Caenorhabditis elegans: one gene and its partner. The protein of the gene in region 1 purifies or fractionates together with the protein of each later gene. This does not show direct contact. Each region holds a gene or a part of one and is shown on either strand. Other genes may lie near its edges. The genes, in order: ttc-1 and C35D10.6.

Region 1 (4,215 bases):
AAAAGAAGTGCATGACTATCAAAAGTTGTGCCGAAATGGTCTTCAAATGCGTGAAATGCTCGGAGGTCTTCCACCAGAATTCGTCGACATTATGCAAATAGTAGGCAACTCCTTTGCAACTTTTCCCCTAACAATCCATTCTTTTTCAGGTTGACAAACTTTCATTCACCGACACTCCGAACTACACAGAAATCTACGGACTTCTCACCAACGCGATTCTCTTCAGTGGCAAAAATGTATGTCTTTCACACAATAAAAGTGTTATCATTTATCATAATTACAGGAATTCCCGTACGATTGGGAGGAGGCTGAGATCAACGAGTTCAAGAATCCGCAGAAGCCAAGTGTGGAGCAGGCAACCTAATAGCTCTCTTTCTATGGAAATAAATTGACTTTTTTGAATATTCAAAGTGTTTTTATATCTTATAACGTTATTCCATAAACTCCCAGTACAATACATCTACAGAACTAGAGAAAAGAGAGTTCAAAGATCAGAGATCAAACTACATATGAACAGAACGAAACTGCATTTTATATGTAGTTACATTGTAGTAAACGATATAATTTCATTTCAAAAGATGAGTTATCATATATTTAGGAATGACCCTTTTGTAGATCCCCTCCATCCCTGATACGGTAGCCTTAAAGTTTCGATCTTTTCGAGACCAGAGAACATTTTAGTGTGAGCGATTAAAATTTCACGAATACAAATAGAAATGTTCATTTTAATCTTTAAAATCACGAAATTGAAAGCAAGAAGACTATTAACCGGAATGCAGATAGAAAATGTACAGAAAATTCAAAGAATGTCGGCCAATTATGCATTTTCCTCTTCTTTCTTTTCCTGACTTGCACCTTCTTGTTTATTCGTAGCACCTTTCATTTGAACCGAAAATCCTCCATTTCCATTCGGGACCATCTCAAAACTGTCTGTCGAGAGCCCAAACGGCGATAGACAGAAATTTCCGAAACCCTTCAGTTTTTCCATCACATCGGCTTTCATCGCCTCATTTCGATTATTAATTTTCTCATTGATTTCAGCGATTTTCCGATCAAGTTCGACGCGGCGTTTTGGAAGAGATTCCTGGAAAAAGTTTACTTCTAATTTCAAAAAGAAATCTACCAAAATCGATACCTGTAACTGTTTATAATCTTCAATAGAATTCTCATACTTTTCTGACATATTCGAGTATGCAAACGCCCGTCGTTCCAGTGCTTTCTCGTTGGTTGCTCCAATCTGAAAATTGATTTTATTTGTTTCAAGCTAACTAGCTAATAGTAAGTCGCAAAATTTTGCTATCTAAGGGTCTCAACACGAAAACCGTTTGTTAAATGCAAAAGGACGCCTTTTGAGGATTACTGTAGTTTCCAACTATAGGAGCCGGGTTTTCGATTTATGAGAAATTAGTTTTCCGACATTTCGATTTTTTTTTAATTTTTTGAAAAATATCTTAAAATTTTGCCAATTTTTCCTCTTGTAGAAGATAATTATGTGTTTCCTGATGTTTTTTTCGTAAAAGTAAACAAAATTTGATAAAGAAAAGGATTTTTTTGTCAATTTTCAAAACCCTTTTCTTTTTGATTTTCAGGAAAAATGAAAATCGAAATTTTTGTTGGAAATTTCAGAAATACTTAAAGCTGCAAACTTTTATTCATTTTAACGCCAAATTTTAGTGACAAGGCCGTATTTTGTGGTCGAAATTGGGAAAATTTCGCGTCTGTGTAATATTTCATGCTCTCTTCAGTACCTCAATTGATTTCGACGCAGCTTCCACAGCAGATTCCCATTTTCTTAACTTGATAAGTGCAGCTGCTGAATTTGAAAGAAGAATCGATTGTACTTCTGTGGATGTTGGAGGGCACGAGGCAATGGCTTCCTGGAAAAATTTCAATTGTATACTGTCGAAATAGACCGATCAAGCCGTTAATTTTGCAAGTCTGCGGCGCGTTGTATGCATGTAGATTTACGAAGAATTTTGTACTACACTCGGACAAGTGGGGATTTTTTTTGAGATGATTGTGTAGTTTTCAGCTAAAATTCTTGTTTGTAATTTTTCGATATTTTTAAAAATCAAAATTTTTGTTTTTCAAATTATTGTTTTCTTTACTATAAAATTATATGAAAATTGAATTAATACTTGTCCACGTGTAGTACAAAATCCTGCGTAAATCGACAAGCTTCAAACCGCGCCGCACGTTTGCAAAACATTCCAATACCTGATATTTTTCATTCGCCTTTTCGAATTCTCCATTCGCAAAGAAATTATTTCCTTCTTTTTTCAATGAATCCACTTTTGTTATCTGATCCTCTTCATCCTCGAAAATTTCTTCGATAATTGCCATTTCTAAAGCTGAAAATAATGGTTTTTAAATAAAGAGAATATTATTTAGAATTTAAATGAAAAATATTTGAAAAGATCAAACAACTTGAGATTATTAAAATTAAAAAAAAAACAAAAATAAAAGTAGGAAAATGTTTATAGCCTGAACTTTTTTCTTTTCAAAACGTTTTTAAAATAACAAAACAAGAAAAAATGGATTAGGTGAATCAACAAAATCTATCTGAAAGGTATTAACTGGGGGTGAAAGAAAGGGACACGTATTATTGGAAGAGATGCTCGTAGAGCTCATCATAATGCGAAACGAATCGAATATCCAACTCTGATTTCATGAATTCTGGTAAATCATCAAAGTCTCGACGATTCTCATTTGGAAGGAAGACTCGTTTTGCTCCGACACGGCGAGCCTGAAAAAAAATGAAATTTTTGAACGAAAAAAGAACAGAGGACCCACCGCGATCACTTTTTCCCGAATTCCACCAACTGGCAGCACTTTTCCGGTTAATGAAATTTCACCAGTCATCGCCATGTCCTGCACAACAGGTCGGTCTAAAGCGAGTGAAAGAAGACTTGAGACAAGAGTTACTCCTGCAGATGGTCCGTCTTTTGGTGTTGCTCCCTAGAAAAATGGAATTGGTTAGTTGAAATTATTTCAAGATTAAGCTCACTTCGGGTACATGAATATGAATATGTGCTTTATCGAAGAATTTGTTATCGGGTTGCTCTCTTGCAAGAATTCCTTTTGCAACAGTCAACGCTGTTCGAACACTTTCTTTCATTACATCTCCTAAATTTCCAGTTGTTTCAATACTTCCATCCTTATCATTTGTCAAATCAACAGGTCGTTTCAATACAGTTTCAATATAAAGTGCAGATCCACCCATTGCTGTCCATGCGAGACCCATTATCACCTGAACGGAACGTGAATTAAGTTTTTAAAACAGTTTTTTCGCTTACTCCAGGCGGTGTTACTTCATACATTCGATCTGATGTGAATTTGGGTCTTCCAACGAACTTTTGCAAGTTTTCTGTGCAAACTACAATTTGTTCGGCTGAAGATTTTAAACAATCTGCAGATGATGTAGAGGTGATTGGTTCGGCTTCTGAGTTTTCAGTGATAGCAGTTGTTGCTTTTTCGGCTGGCTCCTCATCCTCGTTTTGTTGTTCAGCAATTTGAAGAGCTGCTTTACGGAAAATCTGGAAAAAAAAGGTAATTTCTATAAGCAATCTAAATATAATTGTCGAAACAGAACAATCAACTCGAGGCGCGGATCTGAGACCCGAAGAACTCGGGGGATGTCCAATTGGGGGATTACCAACTCGGGGGATTGGCCCCGCCCACAGAACCGTGGCTTGCAATACGCCCATTTCTGCAACTGCCGCACGGTTTAAAAATTATTTTTTCTTGTTAATTCTCGCTCTATTGAGAAAAATACAGTTTTAAAACCGTGCGGCAGTTGCAGAAATGGGCGTATTGCAAGCCACGGTTATGTGGGCGGGGCCAATCCCCCGAGTTGGTAATCCCCCCAATTGGACATCCCCCGAGTTCTTCGGGTCTCGCGGATCGTCCTGTTTTTACCAAAACATACTCTTTCAATATGTTGCTGTAAATTTCTGACTCCAGATTCACGACAGTAATGCTTAATGAGCTCTTCCAACGCAGAATCTTCAATTTTCAGTTGTTCTGTGGCGAGAGATGTGTCTTTTCTGAGTTGAGGAATGAGATGTTGATGAGCAATTTCAACTTTTTCCTCGGCTAAATAACCGCTAACATCAATCATTTCCATTCGATCACGAAGTGGTCCCGGGATTTTTGAAATCTCGTTTGCCGTGCAAATGAACAAAACTCTGAAAATTAGAAATAAAATTATAGAAC
Region 2 (4,166 bases), on another chromosome or scaffold:
TATTAAAATTTTCAGTCGTTACTGTTCTTTTCCCTGAACCCGTGTACAACGGTCCAGAGCAAGTGACATATTTCCAAGGTGAACAGCTTTTCGAAGAACTTACCAGAAATCGAAATACCATCTGGGTTATTCAATTCTTCACAACATGGAGCCCAGAATGCAGACATACTTCACCCGTTTTTGCGGAATTGAGTCAAAAGTTCACACTTCCAAACATGAAGTTTGGGAAATTGGATATTGGAAGATGGGCAAAAGAAGGCGAGCGGTTCCGTGTGAATGCTCATCCAATGTCACGACAGTTACCAACTATTTGTGTATTCAAGTAAGATTTAAGCTTTATTTTAATTTTCAACCAATCTGTAATTTCTAGGGACGCAAAGGAAATCGCTCGTCGTCCACTAGTCAACGATAGTCGTCGTGCTGTTCCATTTGTGTTCAGTGAAGAGAACTGTGTTCTTGCATTCGATCTTCTCAATTTGTACAATGAGCAGAAGGAGAAAAAAGGCGCGAAAGCGAAGAAAGAAGATTAAATATTCGATGACAGCTCAAAATTTCCATATACGACTCAATCACGAGATCTTTCAACAACAAGAAATAATAACTCGGCATTTAAAATTTATACATCTATTTAGAATATAGAGGATTATTTGTAGCTTTAAATTTATAATGATAAATGATTTTGGAAATCAAACCACTACGCGAGGATCCCAGCAAGTTTTGTGTTCGACAGTCAAAGCCAATAAACGATCGATGTCTTCTTGAGTAATCTGTAAATCCCAATTTTAGACATTAGGACTAAAAACCATCTAGAAACAGACCGCCAGCTTAGTAACTTTAAAATTGGTAGCAACATGCTCTGGATTTGTAGTTCTCGGAAGTACGCTAATTCCCTGGCAATAAGCAAATCCAAGAAGGAGCACAGGAATCTCGACATTGTACTTTTGAGCAAGTTCTTTGATCAGAGGTTCTTCGGATAATTGTTTACGATATGTTGGGCTGCCAAGGCTACTGTACGCCTGAAAAAAACTTCAAGAGAGCGAGATTTAGAAAAATCCCACCTGGAAATGAATGTTATTTTCGTTACAGTATTTGACCAGATCGTCCTGATGGAAATGAGGATGATACTCAACTTGATTGACTGCTGGGACAACATTAGAATCTTTTTTCAATTCTTCCAAATGACAAATCTCAAAATTAGAGACCCCAACTGAACGCAATTTTCCTTCAGCCATCATTTCACACATAACGTTCCAACTTTCCACTCTCAGTTTCTTGTTTGCCGGATTTTCGCTTTTCAGGGAACTTCCAGGCCAGTGAATGAGCAAAAGATCCAAATATTCGACTTTAAGATTGCTCAGTGACTCCTCAATGCTTTCCCGAGCTTTCTTAACGCCAGCATTAGATGGGGCTAACTTTGACGTGATCCAGATGTCTTCTCTGAAAAAAAGATAGCTTCAATTGGTGGCTCTGTGGTTTTATTGAATTTTTAAAAATTATTTCTCAATTTTGTAGATTAAAAGTGGCTGAACTATATTTGAATTACATAATATTGAATGAATAACCTAGTTTAAATTTTTTTAAATGTTTGCTTTGATTATTGGTTTAGAATATAATTTGTCGAATTTTTTTTCATTTTTCAATTTAAACATTTTTAGCGAAACAATTTGCTGAAAATTAGAGAAAATGGGTTTCAAATCAAAGAAACACCAAAACCAGTTTTTTCTCGCAGGATTAAAAAAAGATTTAGAAACAATTATAAATTTTTTAAAACCTACCTCTTCAACCCATTTGCTGGAAGCAATTTTTCCAAGATTCTACCAATTTTAGCTTCATTGTTATAGACTTGTGCCGTATCAATGAATCGATATCCTTCTTTGAAACCTGCATCAATCACTTGACGAAGAATTTCTTCTTTTTGAACCTTAAATTTATTTTTTAGTCAAAAAATTGATTTATTCGAAGTCAATACCTGCCACGTGCCAATTCCGATCAATGGCATGTTGTTCTTAACATATTCACGATGCTCCATTGATCCTGAAAAGCAAAACAATTACACTTGAAATAATTGTTTAAAAGTAAATAAATAACTGTTGGCTTCAAACCAAAAAAGACTGAAAAAAAAAACGATTTTTAAAAGGAAAAATGTATTGTGCAGCAAGTTTAAAATATGAAAATGGTAAGATGAAAATGAAATGATTAGATGTGTTACATGGAAAAATGAGAAAAATGACACAATCAAGAAGAGCATTCGGTCGGCGAATTTTGAGAAGTGGGGAGTAGATCTGAAAAATACATAGATTATTATGATTATCTGAAGTTTTCGGTTTTTTTTTTAATTTGGATTTTTAATTTTTTTTAAATTTATCGTTTTCGCATTTCTTTTGTGATATTTCAGAATTTCAGACTAACTTTCCAATTTTTCAGATGAAAAATGTAATTTTCTAATTTTTTTTCAATAATTTTCAGCCAACTCACTTCCATCGCGATCAAATGGGACTCCCGAAAACAACGTCCCGTCGATTTGTTTGATGCAAGACCATTCATTCTTAACGACATCATAGGAAAACAGTTGGGCGACATTGAGCAAGAATTGGCAGAAGATCTTACCTTTCGGTAGAAAATAATCCTGAAAATTAATTTTATGTAAACATTTAAATTCGAACAGAACAACTGAAATGTACCTTTTCAAGCATTTTTTGCAATTCTTCAAAAACTTTCAGCGGCTCAAAATTGTATTGCTTGAGAATTCGTTCAAATGCGGACCACATCTTACACTCTTTCGCCAGTTGCACCACACTCGGGACATCTTTCACTTTTGGAATCATACTGATAGCCTGCGAAAAAAATACACATTATATATCAAACTTTTGTGTTGTTTCAATAGTTAAAATGACCCTAAAAACCGAATTTTACAACAAGACTTCAAAAAAAAAAAAATTAATTTTTGAAACAGTCTCGTTATCAAATTCAGTATTTCGTGGCCATTTTACATTTTAAAAGTTGTAATACCTTGTCATAAAAATCGCCGAGACAATATCTATCCTTCGTTTCTCCAATATCCATGAGTGAAAAATTTGAAAAACAAAACCAATTGATTTCTTCATGTTGTTCGTTCACAAAACGCTCGATTCGGGCGAGCCTCTTATTAATGGCAGCTTCACGATCATCGTCAAACACAAAACTTTGCTTTGTTAGAAGCTTGATATCGATGTTATACTGCACACGTGTCGCTCTAGCGATCGCCACATCAAATCTTGTGACCCTCGCGGCGTGTTCCTCTTTGGTCAAACGTTCAGCACTCCAGTGCTCAATGGCATCTTCTGGCTTAAGTTTCATAGTTGAACGGAAATCATAGTAGGAGTCAATAAATTTCGTCAATAGTACTGTGCATTTTTTGAGGAACACGGCAAAGTCATCACAAATGTCGTCGGTTCGAGACACTTCCCCACTGATTTCAATTGCAAATTCTTGATTATCTTTGATTCCTCTCGAATTATGATCTGCTTCACTAGAAATGGAACAGACAGCTGTCTCATTTTCGAGCACTTCGGGAATGTTGTCGATGATGGGAACTTGTTGAACCATTGAAGAATGACTTTCAGAAGTAGAAGGACCATCTATGTACACCAAGCTATTGCGTGAAGACCTCCTGTTTCTAGCTTTCATTGGTGGTATTGCTACGAGCTTCGCCTTTCTTTCAACCTTTTCTGAAATTATTTTTAGATAAAAAAGTGCGGAAGATTATATATCAGTGGAAACATATTTTTTAAAGCTACATGGAAGGCACATGTGCTGTGAAAAGTTCCTATCATCAAAATAAAAGTGTCTCCCTACAATGAGCCTTTAAAGAAATTAATCAAAAATATGTAAAGCATCTGACACCCACTATAGCTATTACAGAGACAAATAAATGTTATTATTATCACAATACCTTTTTTCTGATTATGTTCCTCCAACGTTTTAATGAAAACTTCCCGGCCATCGTTCTGAAAAAGAAATATTCAGTAATCAAGTTTACTCCAGTTGCTTACCAAAAGTTTTTCCGCATTTTTGTGTTGCAAGAGCTTCTTTTCCACAATCTCCACCATGGGTCCCAGGTTCGATGCAATCACTGAAGCTACTTGCATCTGTAAATGATCCCCGTGGTGCTCTCGTTCATGACACAT

The links.
Region 2: the proteins of ttc-1 (region 1) and C35D10.6 fractionate together in Caenorhabditis elegans (co-fractionation; one large-scale study listed by BioGRID). This does not show direct contact.

Annotation. Positions count from the first base shown.
Region 1 is NC_003279.8:10,674,461-10,678,675, forward strand, and holds ttc-1 (TPR_REGION domain-containing protein), read right to left. Parts: upstream 2,352-4,215; 5' UTR 2,344-2,351; coding exon 2,218-2,343; intron 1,878-2,217; coding exon 1,749-1,877; intron 1,238-1,748; coding exon 1,136-1,237; intron 1,085-1,135; coding exon 818-1,084; 3' UTR 708-817; downstream 1-707. Other genes in the region: C34B2.3 (Protein kinase domain-containing protein), read left to right, coding at 1-100, 150-236, 284-364; lonp-1 (Lon protease homolog, mitochondrial), read right to left, coding at 2,603-2,746, 2,794-2,958, 3,008-3,250, 3,297-3,536, 3,929-4,187.
Region 2 is NC_003281.10:4,857,207-4,861,372, reverse strand, and holds C35D10.6 (NADP-dependent oxidoreductase domain-containing protein), read right to left. Parts: upstream 2,035-4,166; 5' UTR 2,030-2,034; coding exon 1,970-2,029; intron 1,922-1,969; coding exon 1,776-1,921; intron 1,438-1,775; coding exon 1,059-1,437; intron 1,017-1,058; coding exon 819-1,016; intron 768-818; coding exon 687-767; 3' UTR 601-686; downstream 1-600. Other genes in the region: C35D10.10 (Thioredoxin-related transmembrane protein 2 homolog), read left to right, coding at 16-322, 371-530; C35D10.7 (ULP_PROTEASE domain-containing protein), read right to left, coding at 2,236-2,282, 2,476-2,626, 2,682-2,834, 3,010-3,707, 3,932-3,986, 4,032-4,166.